Styela clava: one gene and its partner. The protein of the gene in region 2 purifies or fractionates together with the protein of the main gene of each other region. This does not show direct contact. Links are inferred from orthologs where the notes say so. Each region holds a gene or a part of one and is shown on either strand. Other genes may lie near its edges. The genes, in order: uncharacterized protein LOC120328595 and cleavage and polyadenylation specificity factor subunit 1-like.

Evidence for each region.
Region 1: the proteins of cleavage and polyadenylation specificity factor subunit 1-like (region 2) and uncharacterized protein LOC120328595 fractionate together in Homo sapiens (co-fractionation; 8 studies listed by BioGRID and IntAct, with this or other methods). This does not show direct contact. The link is inferred for Styela clava from reciprocal best matches to the Homo sapiens genes CPSF1 and FIP1L1.

Annotation. Positions count from the first base shown.
Region 1 is NC_135256.1:13,261,675-13,272,455, reverse strand, and holds uncharacterized protein LOC120328595, read right to left. Parts: upstream 3,977-10,781; 5' UTR 3,849-3,976; coding exon 2,217-3,848; 3' UTR 1,969-2,216; downstream 1-1,968. Other genes in the region: JNK1/MAPK8-associated membrane protein-like, read right to left, coding at 4,609-5,517; cytochrome b-c1 complex subunit 8-like, read right to left, coding at 5,783-6,055; asparagine synthetase domain-containing protein 1-like, read right to left, coding at 6,567-8,273.
Region 2 is NC_135259.1:8,800,865-8,811,706, forward strand, and holds the start of cleavage and polyadenylation specificity factor subunit 1-like, read right to left. Parts: upstream 4,994-10,842; 5' UTR 4,809-4,993; coding exon 4,665-4,808; intron 4,371-4,664; coding exon 4,349-4,370; intron 3,705-4,348; coding exon 3,574-3,704; intron 3,331-3,573; coding exon 3,250-3,330; intron 2,939-3,249; coding exon 2,778-2,938; intron 2,339-2,777; coding exon 2,192-2,338; intron 1,822-2,191; coding exon 1,682-1,821; intron 1,364-1,681; coding exon 1,253-1,363; intron 1,032-1,252; coding exon 938-1,031; intron 867-937; coding exon 779-866; intron 513-778; coding exon 405-512; intron 332-404; coding exon 271-331; intron 1-270. Other genes in the region: uncharacterized protein LOC120337467, read left to right, coding at 10,347-10,461, 10,649-10,728. UniProt on the Homo sapiens protein: Component of the cleavage and polyadenylation specificity factor (CPSF) complex that plays a key role in pre-mRNA 3'-end formation, recognizing the AAUAAA signal sequence and interacting with poly(A) polymerase and other factors to bring about cleavage and poly(A) addition.

The DNA of each region.
Region 1 (10,781 bases), on a different chromosome or scaffold from region 2:
TCTGCTCTTCCTGTCGCGGCACTATTGTGACAAAACGATTGCTATTTCCACATGTCTGATTGGTATCTAGGGTTAAACCATAATGTTCATTTCCTTTTAGCTAGCACGAACATAGTTTCCCCGTTATTAAGTTAGGATTGGGCTCCTAATTTGAACCGTTCAGTACGATGGGGTTCGGCGGGAGCATGCCGAATAGTGCATGGGTTCTCGGAAAGGTTAAGAACCACTAGGTTACGTGAACCACCTTACAGCGACGAGGAGTCCAGCAATTTTCTCGCACATACCTATCCCCGCGTGGGATTCGAACCTGCAAACCCATGCGGAATAATCAGAGGTGCGTTGGCGATCGCAATCCTCAAGCTTAGCACGATGCGCCACACCGCCGAGCCAGTTATTTTCAATTTCAACAACTGGGAAGGAAAAGAATCTCCAGAATAGTGCCGCTGGATTGTAAAAGCCGAATTGCGCAAGATTTGGAACTACAGCCAGATAATTTCGTTTGGACCTTTTATTCATGACGCTAACGATTACCACGGTCTGAATGCTTTTTTTTTAAGTAGCGGATTACTTTGTGATATTTTCATGTGGAAACTTGTACATTTTATATGTATATGTTTGTATTGTTCCCCGATTTGAAGGTCGGATAATCTCTTTTTGAACACACGGCCGTTTCGCCGTGCCTTTCTGGAACTGTCTCTCTCCACGTCCCGAAAAAGCTAATTTGTAATTTACATGTAGTTTTCACACTAGGCGAGGGGGCCGCGTTCGCGTGGTGATAATGTTCAATGTAGCACGTTGAAAATCACCAAACTTTTTGGAGACACAATACTAAATATAATAAGGCACCGCTCCCAATAAAACTACGTTCTGGTGGAGAGGTATAATAACTATTGAATTTCAAGCACCGTTAATTCAAAATAGCGATAATAGTTTGGCGGCGTTTCCGTGGCAGGAGCCATAACTTGCCTAAGGTAATTTGGTAGAGTGACTAACACGTGTCCCCCACCTTCAAAACTCTTGAATGAGATTTATACAAGTATGCCAATATTATTAGAAAATTGTACATAAAGGGAGCACGATCCATTTACCTTTCATTTGGAAATCCCAGCCGTGGGCGTCGCTGCTTTCTTGATGATCAGCTTGCGTACCTTACTTCGGTAACTTTGGCACCGGTTAAAAGATATAAACTTTACTTGACAAGTTTTCAGGAGAGCAATTCCACTCCATAATATAACCCACACCACCTCCCAAAACGACCATTTCTACAGACATCCTAAAGTATATATTTTAATATTGTATTTTTCAAAATTGATTGAATCCTGAAAGAATTATTTAAAATTGTCGCTTTCGAACTTGAGAAGACCAAACAGTCGTGAGAGAATTTCTACAGCTGATTAAACCTATTCAGGTACAATATTCTTCACAAGAGAATGTGCAAATAGGTAACCCAAGCGATACATTAAACATAGGGAATTTAATGACAAATGTGGCAAAGGCATTGCATTTCTGTCCATAGTTTTCACTAATATTTTGAAACGTTTTCAAATTCAATTCAAAACCTTTTCGAATGCCATATTTTTCAGCAATTACACAAATTGGACTCCACTTACTAAGTATAAATGAATTAATGTCTTCGCACCATAATTTACATATTGCATGCATGGAGAGATTTAAAATTAGTAGGGACCTTCGACAGTAGCAATGTGTAGTACACCAAAGTAACTAGTTAGGAAGCTGGGTAAGTGGCAGCATATGTACTCATGAGCTCCCAGTCTTATTTCATCCCTTTACAATGGTATTTATTACACACACACATAACGTTATGGTAATTGCGATTTCTACTCATCTCCACTCTACCTCAGGTTAAGAGGGGTGATCAATTTCAAATGTACTCCAGAACAAAATCTTCAAAAACAGTCCTCAAAATCCTCGAGCCATTCACATGAATAACTAACTATTCACAAAATATGAATTAAAACCTATTTAAATTTTTTTGTTTCAATGACATTTTTTCAATAAATGATTATTAAACAACATTATCAGAAAATATGGTTGCTGAAGTATTGAATTTCTAAAGAGACCGTCTCCGTATGTTCATCATATTTGATCTGCATGTTCAAATATATGCATCAGTTGTTATCTCAGTAAAACCGGAGTGTTGGCATAATAACCGCAATCGGAATTATAAGGTCTTTCAATAATATTCACAGAGTAGTTCACTTTTCGACCTCCTCATTGCCATTAACTTCATCAGTTCCAGGAGGAGCATCAGAGTCTTTATCTTTGTGCTTATGCTTTTTTGCCTTTTTATGTTTGCTTGAATGCCTGTCATCATCTTCATGCTTTCTGCGCGATGATTTATGTCGGGATGGGCTGTCGTCTCGATATCTTCTTGAACTGCTGCTCTCTCTTTCATGCCCCCTATCGCGGTCACGATCTTTATCTCGGTCTCTGTCTTTATCACGATCTCTATCCTTTTCTCGGTCACGATCACGATCTCTTTCCCTATCGCGGTCACGATCTCTGTCTCGATCACGATCTCTATCCCGAGGTCTGCTATCTCTGTAATCCCTTCTATCTCTATATCTATCACGGTCGTAATCTCTTCTGGAACTACTTCCCCGCTCTCTCCTGTATCGGCCATCATCTTCACTATGTCGATCTGTTTCACTATCCGAGGGTCTCCTATGCCGATCTTCTGAGTATTGATTGTAAGGATCGCCACCATCTTGTTGACCAAATAAAGGAGGGGGCACAGTGTGTGTGACTGGGGGTTGAAACCCTGGCGGATATCCAGGAGGTGCTGATTGTAAATAATCTGGCGGTGGACCAACGCCTGGTGGAGGGATTCCAGGCGGAGGAACATTAGACATCATAAACGGTGGAGGGACACCAATAGGCATACCTGGTGGTGGTTGATTGGGATTTATGGGTGGGAATGGCAAAGGGGCATTGGGCAAAGTCCCGGCGATTGGCTGCCTCATCTGAGACAAAAATACTTGAGTTGCAGAACTTGGAGGAATTGACGATGGGACAGGTGTGGCATTTTGTGACTGATTTTGTACAGCTGTGGCAGCTGCGGCTGCCGCAGAGGCCGCTAACAGCTCATCTTCTTTCCTTCTACTAAATTGCAAAGTTGATATGTTTCTGACAGTATTTTCAAATTTGGCCAAAGGAACATATGGTGGGGTGCTAAACAAACTTGTGGTACCATTCTGGATAGGTTTTGGTAAAGGCAGTGATATAACAGGCATGTTATCTAATTGTCCTCGAAATTTCTTTTGTTTATCGCAGTATTGCTTCCAGGTATCTTCATTAAACCCGTAATTGAAATAATCAGAAATGTCAGCTCCTGGCTTGCGCCATGGTTTGTCATCAAGCAAGTCTATATTTGTCTCCATAACTGGAGTACCGTTGATATCACCTGGAGCCTGCATATCCAAGCCTTTTGTCACTGTAGGTTTTGTAGGTACAGGAACTGGATTCCTATAGAAAGTTCTACTCAGTCCTTGGGCTGGAAAATTCCCAGGTGTTCCACCAGTTGTGATTTCTCCAATCGTAACTTGTACATCATCATCTGAATCTTCGTCGTCATCCTCATTTTTAGCGGCAATTTCTTTAGCAGGTAGAGCTTGATTGTCAAGCTTAATTACCGGCGCCTTTCCATTTTCAATGACAGGTACCTCTAAAGCAGGAGCCGGCTCATGATCCATTTTTTCTTGGACTTCATTTTCAATTTTTGATAATGGTTTTTCATTTACATTTGTATTTCCTGAATCAGGTGGTTCTGATTTTTCTTTAGTAGAATCACCGTACAACCATGAATCTTCATCTTCTACATCAGCCATCTTAGTTGCGATGACAATTTAGTTTATTATATCATGGAGGTGTTTCCTAGAAAAAACAAATAATCAAGAAATGATATCATCAGGTGAAAACAATTGACCATAACAAATGGAGGTTGCAATAAATAATATATACCGGTATACAATATTGTCAGAAAAATTGTGAATCATGCGCAACTTCAATATTGAATCAAAAATTAATAAAAGCCTGCAAGCATGGAATTGAAGCAAATGTGAAAAGAGTATTTTATCCAAGTTCTTACATATTTTATGTTTCATATCTTATGTATAATACATTACTAAGGGCATATTATTCTATTCTGATAAGAGATTCACTGCACAAATAGTCTGACATTGTTTTCAATCTCATCAGTATGTTGTCACATTATGTTTTCGACTCCAGATAATGTTAGTCTTGTAGATCTACACTAATATATTTGCTTGGTATCAATAGGTACATTTATGTCACTTGCTCCATAATAAACAATATTTGTTCCTTATAGAGTTTGTGTCAATGAAACATAGAAAACATTTCCTGAACATTGCAATTAAGGTAAGGTAAGCTTATTTGCGAGAAATATTCAAATTTAGGTAAAAACTATATCTCTGGATTGCGGAAATGACAAATCAAAAAAAATTCTAGAATACATAATATTAATCCAATGAATGGCCTCCAACTGAAACAAACTATGAATAGATTGAAGCAATAAGGTATTTTAGACAAATAGTAAAAAGGGCCCATAGGTTAGAATGGTATGGATCTTCATGTATGATGCCTTTCTTTATCAATATTTTCGGGATCTGTAAACTGTAATGTCAAAAAATAAAATATAAGTGGGAATGGTGCCAGTACCACAAAATAATAATTTTCATTAGAAATGGCAATAATACCAAATGTTAAAAGCGACATATGCCATAAAATGATCAACATATTTTTGACTTTATGTCGTAATGATGAACTAAGAGTTGTGACATTGGTCCACACAAAGTACGTTGCTATAGCGACCAGGGATACAAGCAGTGTTATGTAGGGAAATGAATAATAAATTAGCCCCCCAATAAAAGCATGAATTACAACTAAGATGGGATGAAAATACAATGCTGCATAAAGGGGGCCACTCCATTCCTTCGCAGCAGCTATAAAAGATAGTATAAAAGGTCGGAATAGTAGCATCAATATGAGTGTATATGCATAATAGATACAAACTATTGTCATTAATGGATACACTGCTTCTTGAGAGCAATGAATGGTCTGAGTATATTCAATCTGTGGGTTATAAAACATTGTATACCAGTCTGATAACTGATTTACACCACAAGATACAAGTTGTAAATCACCTTTCGGCTCACTAGAAATAAGTGATAATAAGCAAGCACAAACACATTCGAAAATTGATAAAAGTATCTGTGCTACCATTAGTTTCAAAGATTTCTGGTTTCTTAATATATAAATCCAATGAAGCATACAAGGTAATACAGCCATAAATCCAAGATAAAGCCAGTCATAGATATCAGGAGGTTTGTCACACTGAATACAATACTTTGTTTCGTTTGCTTTATATCCCCATGGACAAGCACCACACTTGTCTAGTTGCCACGTATCAGGTAATTCATCATCAGGTGGATAACCACAGTATCTTCCAATGCACAATGGATTCATAGCTTCAGCCATGGTACTCAAACTGATGCTTTCATTAGATTTTGAATGTTTTACTATATTATATTATCTAAAGAAACAATTATCATAATAATAAGTTATTATTGAACCACCAAAAATGCACGACAATCCAAAAACATGAATATTTTGAACAGACAAATTCACTGTAAAATGAAGTTGAATGAAATTTATCTTGTTATTATGAACTGAAAAATATTTTATTATATTTCCTATTTTAAATCAAACACATAGTATTGAATAATTGAACGATTTTATAAGTTTAAACATCATTTTCATAGTCTTTAAGATTCTTTCTTTTCAGATTCGCATTTGTTGTCTCTCCATACTGATACACCATATATCCGATAACCATCGGAATGGTGAAGTATAGAAATTTTTCTCTTGTTCTCCTTGCAACGTTCACTAGGCCATTCTGAAAGTAACCTTTCAAAGGTGGTTGCTCAAAAGGTGACAGCTGATACTGGATTTGTGATGTCATCTTCACTCCAAGAGTGCCAAATCCTTTTCCCATTTTTCCATCAGTAAGCTTCATGTTGCAATTTTCTTGGGAGTTTTTTTGTTAGAAAATTTAATTAACAAACTAGATTCATGAATAAAAACATATAATATAAATTAGAGCTTAGACAAAATGCAATTTATTTCATAACACTATTTCAATCAGCCTTCCACTGATGTTGCCCATGGCCATGATACTAAATATACAACAGCCCAAGAGCATTGAATTGAAGCATAAAATTGTTAATTTCAAGGTTTTGAATGGTTATTTCTACTAAATTACTTCTATGAATCTGTGCACAAAAAAAATTAATATGAAAATTGTATTACCAAAAAACTGAAATGAATTTGTAAAAAGTCGAACCAGAAAAAACACGTTTAAGTTATTTTTTAAGAAAACAAATTGAGAAAAAATCAAGTTAAATATAATCTGCTGAAATCAAGTCTCCAATATCTGCTTGAAAAAGTAATGATAAAGCATTTGCGAAACTTTGAATATTACAAAATGAAACATTGCCTTATCGTGCAGCCATTGCATGCAATTTCTGTCACAATAATCTACTACAAATATCAGAAGCCTTTTCTTTATTGCACTCTGCTTTGGCAATACGAGATCCAAACTGGATGGCCCTTTTTGGAAAAACAGCAACATTCCTTAGGCCAAGATTATAAGCCGTAGCCCTGAGAAGAAGTTTTTCTCCTAACCCTCTTCTATAAATCAAATTGGTTTTAGAAGAGAGTGGGATTTTATTTAAAAATGATATAACATTTTCATCTAAATATGGAAACCTTGCTTCAGTTCCATGATCTGCAATAATTCTGTTATCACGACCAAGGTTTCGTGATGATATTCTTTCCAGTTCCATCATAATTTCATTGCCAAGTCCTTCCCACCCACGATTTTCGAATGCTGATCGATGACGGGAATATCCTCCAAGCTGTTCATCAGCTCCCATACCACATAGAACTACTTTTGTTTTGCATTCAGGGTGTATTGTCCCACCATATGCTGCAAACCATAAAGCACAACCAATACTATCGTCAAGAACAGTTGTTAATGGATATGTTAAATCAGCAATTCTTTTTATTCTAGTTTCCCTTAATTCGTCTAATCCTATATTTATTTCAACAAAATTCCAAACTCTATTTGGGCATAATTTTGATAATTCCTCATAGGACATCCTACCAGTACACCTGTCTGGGACATCAAAATTTTTATTTTTTGGTGTTTCAAAAGCAACATTAAGTAAATTTATCGGTTCCGAAACGGGAACATATTCATTAGCCAGCAAAGCTAGAATGCTACAATCTATTCCACCAGAAAAAAGAATACTTATTGATGAATGTGAGTTTGAATATTTTGGCAGATTTGATACACGTCTTTGTACCGACTTTTTGAGTACATCTGTAAAAAGATCCACTAATGGCCAAATATTTTGGGATTCACAGATAGCAACCAAAGCATCTAAGTCTGACATTTTATCTACTATTTGGCTTTTGACAACTTTCTCAAAAGAAGAATTGAATGTTTCTATGTTCAGGTCTATTGCAATATGATCATTCTCTGCAGATCCATTTGATTCCATTATTTTATTTGTGTAACCAGTGTCATATTGCTTCATAACATCTACTTTGAGGCAGTGTGAGTTTGTAATTGATTTCCAAAAATGACATTTAATCTCCCTATTACATTTTTGCAATTGTGTGTCGATGACATAGATTCCATCAGCCTGGATTTCTTTCCATGACACATTTGAATTGATGTTTGTTGAATGTTTCGCAACTGATGCTAATATAAAGTCATCGTCACCTTCATGATATAAAAGACTATGGCGACCAAAATAATCTCTCCCAAAATACAATCTTTTTGTTGAATTTTGAAAAAATACGAAGGCATAAGGTCCGTGCAATGAACTAAAAACTTTGCATATTTCAGTATCATTTGCGCATTCACTCAGGCGATTAGCAAGAATGACTGTGTCACAAAAACCGTCCTTTACTTCTAATCCACCAAAGACGTCACCATTCCATTGCAAAAAGTCTCCATTTGCAGTAACATAAGGCTGTTGAGTCGCAACATTTCCTTGTAAATGCAGAACAGTAGAAATCATGTGTAAATAAAAGCCATTGCCGATAACTATTGATTTGGTCCCAGTAGCATCCGGACCTCGACGCTTAATGAGAGGTAGAATATCATCTAGAATATGTTGTGGCACATTTTCAGACTTACTTATTATTGCTATTATACCGCACATAATTATAATTGCCTACAGATGCATAGTTTTACCAGCTGTCTGTGTAAGAATATTAAATACCAATTCATTCAGATCAGAAGCTGAGACATAAGAAAGCACTCAATAATCGACATGTTCAATGACACAATTCAAATTGGTAGCCTTTGCACTATCTGCTTTTGTGAGAGGGAAACTGAGAGCATGTAACAGTGAATTGATATAGTTTTATAAAATGATAGTAAGAGTAATCAACTATATAGTATCAATCAATTTTAATTTGGTCACTCTGGAAGAATTAAAACAACAACAAACGGACAAACAAAATGCAAAAGACCTGGAGGAACGAACATAACTTAATTAAAAAGTTGAAAACGTACAAGTACGTGCCCGTCCACCAAAAACAGTAAAAAGAACCATTCAAATTCGATGAGAACTTTTGAATTAACAAATTCAGAAATTGGCATAAATCAATTATTCCATAAATATCATTGAATCCCATCAAAAATAAACGTTAAAATGAAGTCTTTCGCTATTTTTAAATGTATGAACAAATGTATTTACATACGTAAGAATGTTATATTACTTAATTGAGATTATACTTCAGTATTTGGAATCCACATATATTACACTGCACTATTTGTCTATGAAATATTTTGCACCTTTAAAATCAACCTCCCAACAATTCAGACCTGTGGATAGTAGCCTATTAGACTATGTACCTACCATATGGTACAGTATACTATTACTACCTATATTATATAGCATAGCCTATTTACCAAAATATTATATCACAATATTAACAGTTGACATTGTATTTCTCAAACGTTACCGTACAGTAACATTTTTAAAAGACACAAAGATAATATCCTACGCTAGGTAGCAAAACACTTGAGTGATACGATATCACTGTATTATCAACATTACCGTAACATACGGCCATATACCTACAACAGATACGGTACAAAGAAAATGATTTTCAATCTAGTAACTAGTATCACTATCTTCTAACTAGTCTGACAATGTTTTAATACGGCGCCATATTAGGTATTATTTAAGATAATGTTCTTTTAATACGAATATTACCAAAAAGAAAAAGAATCGAGAATAAATTGAAAACACGCGACTTTTCTCTTTTTTTTTTTTTTTTTTTAATTGGTTCACTCATTGAGTGATTTCAATAAATATGTAAAAAATAAATAAACAAATAAAATAAATTATAGTCCACATTCCATTCATGATCCATTTGTTAAATTGAGTTTCACAGTATTTCCAGTTTGTTTCATCAGTAATAAGTATCCAACGATAATAATGTTTTTTTAATAATTACAATGATATAATACAATATAAAAGGAAATACACAAAATTAGTAAATACAAAAAACTTATTATAAACCTGATTTAATATCTAAATTAATGCTTTACATAAATTTTGTAATTCTTTTTCAAAGGGTTTGTCTACTCTGGAATTTTCTATATTTTTTCTATACATTAGGGCCATTTTTATCTGTTTTTTAAGGAGAGCAATGTCAGGTGTTTTATTTTCAAATATTATAGAATTTCTCATTATCCAAATTTTATATCGCACTATTGATAATAAAAGAATAATTGCATTCAAATCTAATGCTGTTATATGACTAAATAAAGGATCATTAAAATTCAATAATATACAAGAATCATAATTTATAACAAAATTTATTCTAATTAATTTTAATATAATTAAGGAAACAAATTCATCATAAATTTTCTGAGTAAACTTACAAAACATAAAAATATGTGACACAAACTCAGGTTCTATATTACATAATAAACATAATTCATTTCCTGCTACTCTTTTGATCTCTGGTTTTGTTTTCAAGGGTAGAATATCCCATATTAACTTATAGTTGAAGGTCCTCATATAATTTGCCAAAATTTTATTATGAATACTGTTACAAGTTATACTGAGATTTGAATTACGGATAATTACAAGTCTTTCCCCATTAATACTTTTTAAAACTTTATCATATATAATTCTATGTTCACCCATTTTAATATCATTCATATTTAAACTATAAGTTTTCATAAAATTAATTACGCTTTTATAATATTCACGCGACTTTTCTCGCACGAATGTCCTACAGGAGATAAAACGCCAAGGTGGTATGTCGTATTTCAACCCTTGCCTGACACCCCGTGATGTCGACTATCTTATCCAACTACTGTACCAGCATTATCGGTTGCGCATTGGTTGCGATATAGTCTAATACCAAATAATTGAGAAATAAAGTAAATACGTAAAATGAAGGTTAAAAATAGATAAAATAATAATATAAATCATTACATACAGATGAGACAGTATAAATTTCATAATAAATATTGATCATTTGTATCCATATTGTAGCATATCCGTTGTAAATCCCATTTGTTGTCATCATCAATTATATGTTCCATGATGCCATTTACCATTATTTTAATTAATGCACGGAAAAGAAAATTTTAAGAATTAGTTCCACTTCATTACGATAAACACTTCTAGTCATATTTATATATA
Region 2 (10,842 bases):
ATTCAATAAAAAAAAATTTTCGACTGGTTTTCTATTTTATAGAGTTGAATGAAGAATGATAATCACATTCAAAAGTTTAAAATTCTTGCAAAAAAAGTATTCACTACACCAAATATAACCAATTTCGATTGTTTACAAAAATATAAATCGTGTGGGTCATGGCTGGTAAAAAGTATGAGGTGGACTATAGAATGTTTCATTCTGGAATGACATAAAAATTTAAATATTGAAGCACATTGACATACCACGAAATCATCAATTAGAACTTACCAGCCCAATCTGCAGCTGTATTCAATCGTTTGCGCTTCGAGGCTGGTTCACTTGTCAAAGCCTTTTGAACAGAATATTTTTTCAATTAAAATCATGAAATATAACAAGTTTCATAATGACATAGTTCAAATTACCTTCTCTTCTCTACTTATTTCCATCCTTGCTGCTTCAGTGTAACGAAGTAACAGAGAATTACCAAGTCTCGATCCAAGAAATAAATATCCTTCTTCAAGTAGAGTTATCTATATAGATGTATTTACACAAATATGTTATAAATGAACTATTCAATCAAAATGAAAATAGTCATTACTCATGATGGAGATTATTTTCCCCAGTCAGTAAAAAACGACCCATACCACATGTCCACATTGTAAGAATAAAAAACATACACTTCTGCAGTGAATGGGAAGATGCAGAAAACTACAGCGGGTTATCGAGCAGTGGCAAACAAATATATAGATGTATCAAACAAACTAAGACTCCTAAGATAAGATGAAAATGAACTTACACAAGTAGTTAAAACACTTGCAGCAGCTTTCTCTATATGGAAACTTCGGACACTTCTCATGCTATCTACTACAAGGGATATCACATATCTGAAAAAAGATGACACATTTGTATCAAGCCATGTAATTTGGTTAAGTATTTGATTATTACTACAACTCACAATTCTCCTCCTTTCAAAGTTACAACAAGTCTGTCCGGTGACAAAAATACAGCTTTGCTAAGATCAAGCGTTATTGCGAGCCCATCTTGGATTTCTGAGATTTAAAATGAAAATTTATCAGATTGGTCATTCATCATGGTGTACTCCCAATTTCATGCCCTACAGTAATTGATTTGATGACTTTTACTGCCCATTCTAATGAGCTAATATTAATTAAAATGAGGGTTTTTTAATCATAAAGTTAGCCGGCTTCAGTTTAAAATTGGCTATGACAAACAGTTACATAATAGAGTATATTCATTGTGATTTACTCACTCAATGGAAATGATGTTGAGTTCTTTGTGTGTGAGTTGAGTGACATACCATGGGGAGGACAACTTTGATTTAAATATATCATTGAAGATACAGCGAAAATTAAAACTCCTCCTGAAATCCAATTGAATGATTTGATATAAAAAGAGTTTATTGAATTACTGCTATATAGTATTAAGTACAATTTACTAATAGAGTCAGCAGTCACATTTTCAATATGTTTCTGGGGTTGAAATATCATGAATAGCAAACCTTAATTAATTAATTAAAACTTGTTTGTGAAAGAAGTCAAGTCAAATTATGCATGCTATCCCCAATTTCATTGTACTCAATTTACCTACATTAGTCTTTCCAAATTAGTGTAATTTTCTATTTAAAACATTGTGCACCAATTCCTACAGGATAGGATAATTCCATTAGAAAAAGACTTACCTATAGGCTTTGGAACTGCATAAACATATTTACAATCATATGGTAGGGAGCCAAGTGACCAGATAACTGGATGTAATTTTTCACTCACATTGAGTGATATTGCTATAATATTGCAGGTATCTTGACGAACAGCGATTCGACTGAAACAAAATATAAAATTTCTCAAATAAAAATAAAGCATCACAATTGAAAATTTAAGATTGGATATGTGAGAGCACTCGAGAGTGTTTAACTTTATTGAAAATAGTAAGTAAAAATTACCCTGATTTCATAGTAATTAGATTATGAAACAAACTAACATAGAATAATGAGATTTCCAAAAATAATTTTAATCTCATTAGTGATTTAGCTACTAGGAAGAATGATAATAGAAGTGTACACTTCAAAAGTATGCACAAAAATATATTCTCCTGTGGAAAAACCTAGAATATCTGGGAGTTACTCTTTCTATATAATAACTTAATCCATGCAAAGAAATAAAAAAATTTGGCCAAAAATATCATTGCTCACCCTGCCCATGTCCTCAGAGATTCAAACAAAATCAGCAACGTTGGTTCATAATATCCATGTAAAAATTTCATATCTTTCACAATCTGAACTTGAGGATCAACTTCCTTCAAATTTATCTCATAACTTGATAGAACATGACCCCGAGTTCTGTTGCAATTGAAAGATATTATCAATAGAAAATGCAAAAACCCCAAATAAGGTATTACCAAAAATCTATAAGCATATAATAGGAGCACAATCAAGCTTTGGATGAAGTATATTTACTGAAGTTGATTCGAAGCAATACGCAGATAAACTATAGACAGTTAGGAACCCAAAACAAGCCAAAAATCTCTATATTCCATGATATTTCAGATTTACGAGAGTTAAAAAAAATTCAACTAAAAAATTCCAGCTATGGAAAATGCTCTATATTGAACATTGCATACGGAAAACTTCAACTCCGACCTCCATTGTTAATAATTGTTGATTTGAGTGAAAACTTTCATGGTGGCGATTTGTGTAGAACCTGATAACTTGTAATTTGTTTATAAAAACATCATCTTGATTCTAAGATTACTTAGCTAAAAAATGTAGTAAAACATACCCTGCATTTGACAGTCCAACAGAATCATCAGTTACAACAGCAGTTTCACGGGTTCGGAATGGAAGTATTGCAATATTAGTACTTGTCAGTTGCATGCAAGCACAACGATTTTCTGGATCAGTGCAAATTTTTGGGATGGTGTTTCTGCTCACAGAACCGTTCTAAAATGATATGTTGGATTACTTTAAATAATCGAAATGATGTCAGAGCCAGGGGTTTCAAACCTAAATCCTTAATCTGTGATGTCAAAACAGTCAGGCCATTGCACCAATGAAATGAAGAAAGAAGATTTGCAATGTTTGAAACTTCAAAATATAAGAAATGGTATGAAGAATCCTATTGTATTAAATGGTTAAATTATTATCAAGATATTGAGCATGGCATCCTTATACATACGAATATCAAACGGTACATCAAATAAAAAGTTAAACAGACACAGAATTTTCTAGGAAATCTGTAAATACATACTTACCTCAGACAAATCTTCTTCAAAATAATGAAGTGAAGAAGTTTTAATTTCAAATGTTGATTCATCAAATTCAATAACAGAAAGCTGAATAAGAAATTTTCACACTTCACAATAGCAAATATTTAAAAAAAAAACAGTACGCCAGTTTAAAAATAAACAAAAAATATAAGTTCGACTTGTATTTACCATGACTTATGAAAATTATAACAATTTAATAGTTTTTGGCATGTTCTTGTACAGGCTCAAGATAGTTTTAAAACTTTGACACAGCCTGTATATTTTATATAATTCAAATACAAAATGAAAAAATGAATGAGTTCAACACACCTTAGCATACTTGAAGCTGAGCAGAATTGAATCTTTCGCACATCCTGCAAATCGGACTTTTTTCATTGACTGAATATTTCCATGTAGCTGCCATGTTCCAATTTGCTCCAATTTATCTTTACGTACTTTTTCTGTATAGATATTAACGACATATGATGTGAAAGTTAGTAACGACATTTTTCGAAATGGACAACTGGAGGAATCAAGATCAAAGATGTAATAATAGATGATATAAATAGTCAAATGAATATTATACACCCCGTTTGTAAAAGTATTTAAAAATGTATTGATTTCGACAAGAAAATGGACATTTTAATATTGGTCCAGTCAAGCAATGGAAAACTAAAATTTATTAAGTCACTTATGAAGTTACAAATTCAAGCAATCACATACAGACATAATCACTTCTTTATATTATTGCCCACCTAATGCAAATTCTGTTAAATAGATTTTCTGTTGAGCCAATATATCCCCCCCTTCCTGCCTTCCCGAAAAAGGGAGGAAAAAAAAAATATTCAGATATTGTTTGTTTTCTGATAATTTTATTGACAGCTATGACATCGATTTGTTAAAATGTTTTTAGAAATTATTGGATGGACTAGGATGAAATTTTTTAAGATTCATTAAAAAGCAAAAGGTTTACAATAAAGAGGCAGAAAATTAAAAGGTACAGGCATTGCAGCATTGTAATTGTAACATTAGATATTCTAATATTATTACTCAGGTAAAGGCAGTGGAAATAATTACAAAACAATCCCAACTTGTATGAATATACCTTTCTCATCTTTGGTGACGATCTGGAAAAATAAAATGTGAATTTAGTCAAATTAATTAAATTTAATTTTACTGCTGGTTCACTACCAAATCAGCAAATTCAGAAATAAGCCAAATATTCTGACTCAAATTATGGTGATACAAGGTAAACTTCGTAAAGGATAATGAAAATATGATAACATTTCTGCATTTTGTCAAATACAGTGATGTAAATATCAAATGTTCATTTTTGCAGTATTTCTGTATTTCGTCAAGTAGCCTAGAGAAATAGGATGAAGATGCCTAAAATAGAGGATCTAACTGCAATATATACTTACTTCTAACTTTTTCCTCAATCTGTAAATAGTTAATTGTGAAGCAGCAGAAACAACTAAGTCCTCGTATTTCTCTGAAGTGAAATTACAATGCAAGCAGTTTTCTATCCCTGTTGGAGGATGGAGTTGTCTGTACCACGCATACATCACGCTGTAGTCTACTAGCAGTACACCAAAACCCTACTATGCTATCAGAAACGTCGATTTCAGGATTTGCAGCTGAAGAAAAAATCTATGAACAATTAGATGAAAGGACAAACAATTTCAGAAATTCAAAGTTTGCTAGCGAACCGCGAAAATTCAGAAAATATGAGAGAAGTCGGTCTGGATTGTTTTTCCGACCTCCGACCCCGGAATTTCATCTATATGGATGTTCCCCGGACATTGATTTCCATTGTTTATTGCCCTAACAATGACCAATCAGCACTAAGTTAACAATGACGTAATAATTGCAATTTGTGGTAGGGTACCTTTCTGATTTTTGTCAGCTTGTAGTAGACTAAAGTTTTTGTTCTTTGGGATCATTAATAAACTGAGTTTTGTCCAATCTGTCTCTTACTTTGGTTGATTGCAAAATGCCAGTGTGACCCAGGGTTTCCTTTCTAGTTCTGTAGTTGCGTTGTGGTTACTGGTTTACGCCGTATAGTGGTGCATGTTCAGATGTTTAGGCTATTAGTCTACATAGATCTGTAGATTTGGGACTTTAACAGACAAATTATTTGAAGTGAAAATTTAAATTTTGATCAACATTAGGTTGGTGGAACAGTTGAGCAAAGTTAGTGGCATCGAAGTTCTGAAGTTCCTCATATCACGTTTTGGTATGAATCGATTATGGGATACCGGTAACGTATTTTGTTTTTATCAATTATTTTTTCGTCTATTGCTATCGTCTATCGTTTATGGCAGTATGAAGTCGAAATAAACTTATACTTATAAAGTAAAAAAAATGGAACTAATTATTCTCATTGTGTGTGTTATCAGTGGAATTGTGGCATGGGTTAATATTTATGTCACCTAGTATATACCTTTTACATATTTTTTAACTATTGCAAAAATGTTCAAAATTAGGCTAAATGCGTTCATGAATGTTAATCATGCTCAACAAAGTGAAAAACCCTGTTAAATAAAATAACCTTATCAAGCAATGAAACTAGGAAGAACGAGCATTTAGGGGTTCTTGTCAAGTAAGATCAGTTTTGCACACAGCATTGTGGCCGGTTCCTTTAATTACCGGAACGGACCCTAAATTACCGGAACGGACCGGAACGGGGTGGAAAACATACATAAACCTACCGGAACGGACCTTTAGATGTCTTGCAAATGTCATTTCATATACTTCCATGCAATTTTTATATTAAATCGGCAAACTTGGGGGGGTACAGTGGTAAATTTGATTTTTCTTAATTACCGGAACGGACCCTAATTTGCCGGAACGGAGTGGAAAACCAACATAAACCTACCGGAACGGCCCTTTAGATGTCTTGCAAATGTCATTCCATATACTTCCTTGCAATTTTTATAATAAATCGGCAAACTTGGGGGGGACAGTGGTAAAATTAATTTTCTTTAATTACCGGAACGGACCCTAATTTGCCGGAACGGAGTGGAAAACCTACATAAACCTACCAGAACGGACTTGTAAATATCTTGCGAAGGACATTTTATGTCCCTCCAAGCGATTTCCCAAGTAAAATGGGAAAATTGAGGAGGATAGAATGATAGAAAATAACAATTTCATTTTACGCCACCTAGCGGATGTAAATTGAGCAATGAATTCCTGAATCATCTCTTATCAATATGAATTGATGATAAAAATTGATAATCAAAACCTTCTTACATGTTATTAGTCTTTAATTTTCCTTGTAGATAAGATAACGTAGTCATAGATTCAGATTGAAACAAATAAAAATTGTTTCCACAAACATTCTTGTGCAGGTATTGTAACTATGTAGCACAATATGAATATCCACCTAAATCTGTCATTCATAGAGATGATGTTGTTATTTAAGTTCGTGTCACCCGTAAGACTGCTGTTCGGGCACTGTAATCTACCTTGATAGATTGCATATTGCTTCGTGTCCATATATTTGAGCATCGTCCTCTTGTTTACCTACATACATACAAATCTGATCCTCTAAAATGACTTCTCAAAATACTTGAATTTAAAATTTCAGCATAGGAAAATGCGAGAGTTGACCACGAGTTGAAAACGATTGTCGCTATAGCCTTTATAGCGAGGACGGTTCAAAGTGCTCCTACTGATTTGTCTACTGATAACACAGCTTCGAGCCTCCAAAGTTGAAATGCAGCAGGACTGGCGCTGGGCTGTTCGTCATGGCCGGAGATTTCTTTGCGACAGAAAAGCGACCTATGTGCCATTTCGAATCACGAATTTAAAGCAGATTATTTACGATTCTTGTAATTGTACTCCTAGTTTTTATATCTTCTCCATCAACCTGCCAAGGATAGAATACCAAGCCAGTTCGACGATTTTATCGGTATGTACAACTTGTATTTTATATAAGGATTAATATATTTATTGAAGTTTACTTCGAATGAGGAAATGGTGTCCATATTTTAAAAGTGTCTTTGTTGCAAAACGCTAAGATCTTGAATGTATATAATATATGAATGAGTCAGAATGATAATTTTTAATTGTACTAGTCGATATCAAAAATACCTTTATTACTTTTAACTAAGAGTTCCATTTTCTGGTTCAGATATTCAACGCAAACGTCAAAAGACAGCCTACTACGCTATGTCTAGTGCAATAAGATACCCATGTGCCACCTGTTCCATTGAATGTATTGACGAGTGCATTGAATGTGAAATGTGTGAGACCTGGACACATGCTTCCTGTCTTGGAGAACAACCAAAAGTCATGGAAGTATGGAGCAAGAAAGACATGCACTTTTTATGTGCAAGGTGCTTGTGCCCGAATCAAAAGTTCGATTACGACATGGCGTTACGGATGTTAGCAGGTCGCCCTTACTTGACCAAATCGTTGCAATGTTTGTTAGACAATCATCAAGTTATACCCTTAGAAGCACCACAATCTGAGAATCATATAAGAGAATGTTCAGTGTCTAAGAATATTTTGCAAAAGTTTCATTCAATCATGCTGGACTGTTTTACTCAATGTACGTAGAAGGCGATGGAAACTGCTTGTACAGGGCAGTATCCGTCTCGTTATATGGAACACAAGACTATCACAAACATTTACGCCTCTTGACAGCAATTGAAATTATGGAACATCAAGAATTTTACGACATAGAATTTCCTGCTTTCAAAAACCCGATTGATGATGATCGGGTTGTGACATCAAAATACTCGGATTTGATACATTCAGCTCGAACGGATGGATGTTTTTCAGAAATGATGCACATGTATGGCTTGAGTTCAGTTATCAAAGCTTCGATTCAATCTTATTACCCTCAAACCAGCGCCAACGTTTTCCTAAGCCAGCCTTTCACAAGGAAAATTTGTGGCCGTGACGTCAGAGCCACGCAACAATCGAAAACGACAATACTGTGGACCCAAATGACGATTCCTCCAACAGCCAAAGATTTTAGAACAAATCATTTTGTACCTCTCCTCGAAGTACCACTTCAAAAATACGATACGATTTTAATTCCGGATTCCCCTAGTATACTATCGGACTCGGAAACATTTTGTAATGATGACAAATTAATATCAGACGAGTCGATCAGCAAAGATGAACATGTTGATGCAGCAAATGACTCTGCAACTGTAGGTGTTGTAACTCCTGACATGCCTCATTCTATATCCGATACATGCAGAGTATCCAATAATCGAGGCGTTCCTCTGCCAAACGGAAAATTCCTAAGCTTGGAACATATTATTCAAATTTTTGGCCGTTGTGAACCAGGCACGGTGTTACCTGAAATTCCAACTGGTAGCAAAGAAAATGTATATTTTCTCATCACAAACACCAAAAATGCAGAGAATCGTAGGAATGGATACCGAAGCGAATTTTCGGACGATTGTGGCAAAAACCTCCACTGGCAGAACGAATTTGAGCATGAGTTCCTACGTTTAAGTTGGTGAAAAATTATAAGAAAGCACGTTTTATATTTTGCGTATAAATTTCGAGACCTAGTGGGGAAATTAACAATCTGCAGCTAAGTCAATAGCATATTAGTAAATTTTGAAGGAGTCATTTTAGATGATCAGATTTGTATGTATGTAGGTAAACAAGAGGACGATGCTCAAATATATGGACACGAAGCAATATGCAATCTATCAAGGTAGATTACAGTGCCGGAACAGCAGTCTTACGGGTGACACGAACTTAAATAACAACATCATCTCTAATAATGACAGATTTAGGTGGATATTCATATTGTGCTACATAGTTACAATACCTACACAAGAATGTTTGTGGAAACAATTTTTATTTGTTTCAATCTGAATCTATGACTACGTTATCTTATCTACAAGGAAAATTAAAGACTAATAACATGTAAGAAGGTTTTGATTATCAATTTTTATCATCAATTCATATTGATAAGAGATGATTCAGGAATTCATTGCTCAATTTACATCCGCTAGGTGGCGTAAAATGAAATTGTTATTTTCTATTATTCTATCCCCCTCAATTTTCCCATTTTATTTGGGAAATCGCTTGGAGGGACATAAAATGTCCTTCGCAAGATATTTATAAGTCCGTTCTGGTAGGTTTATGTAGGTTTTCCACTCCGTTCCGGCAAATTAGGGTCCGTTCCGGTAATTAAAGAAAATTAATTTTACCACTGTCCCCCCCAAGTTTGCCGATTTATTATAAAAATTGCAAGGAAGTATATGGAATGACATTTGCAAGACATCTAAAGGTCCGTTCCGGTAGGTTTATGTTGGTTTTCCACTCAGTTCCGGCAAATTAGGGTCCGTTCCGGTAATTAAAGAAAATTAAATTTACCACTGTACCCCCCCAAGTTTGCCGATTTAATATAAAAATTGCATGGAAGTATATGAAATGACATTTGCAAGACATCTAAGGGTCCGTTCCGGTAGGTTTATGTATGTTTTCCACCCCGTTCCGGTAATTTAGGGTCCGTTCCGGTAATTAAAGGAACCCCATTGTGGCCTTCTTTCAGAAAGGACCCCTGGATGGGAATCGCTGTCTTATACTATCTTCTACAAATGCTAAATTCCTAGTTGCCTAAATGTATACCGGTACTGGTATAAATTTATTTTGACTCCATCAGCATGGCAGACGATAAACTGATAAATGAGTTGATAAAAACTGATTACTGGATTATAGATTCAGAAGAGCAAACAAAGCCTTAGTAAGGTTTATAGCAAACCGAATTTAAGTTAGAAGGTTTTGCCAAAGAACAGAAGAAGTTGTACATGTCTGCATGTTCATTCAATTAAGTCCTAAACTACCTCAGTCTGTAATTTTGTAATGAGATAATTTATTTCAGTATTAAAAAAAGTAATAATAATTAATAAACTTACCTACAGGCTGACTGGTGTTTGAAATGGAGACCACTCTGTACTCATAGGTTCTGTAGTCAGGTAGTGGTGATAGCATAAAAGTCATATTGGAGATGTTGAAATAGGTGGCTTCTTCATAGGTTTTAACAAACCCCATTTCATCATTTTGTATTTCTGTATTTAGTTCATTAAAATTGCAATAAGGGCATTGTAATTAATCAAATTTGAATGGCGGAAAAACCAATGCTAGGGGGTTGTTGTGTGTGTTTGGATGAAAGAGGTTGGGCTGAAAATCCACTAGTTTACTGTGATGGACAATCATGCAATGTGGCGGTTCATCAAGGTAAATGCATTTGATAATTTATTCGATTTTTGATATAAAAATAATTAAATTTCATGTTGTATGCTGGCAACTTATGTACTGCTGGGAATGTCTAGAATAAATTGGGAGTCGATAAATGTCCATATGGGTGTGTATAATAGAAATCTGCTTTGATTATACAGTAATAAATTTTGATATTTTGTTTCAGCTTGCTATGGCATTGTCAAGGTACCATCAGGGCCTTGGTTTTGCAGAAAATGTGAATCTCAGGAAAGAGCTGCTAAAGTGGTAAGATGTTGTCTGCATTGTACCTTTGTGTAATTTCAGAATTTCCCATGTCATTGATTTACCCACTTTTGAATTTCACTTCATTCACTACTTTTCTTGTAAAACTTGACATAA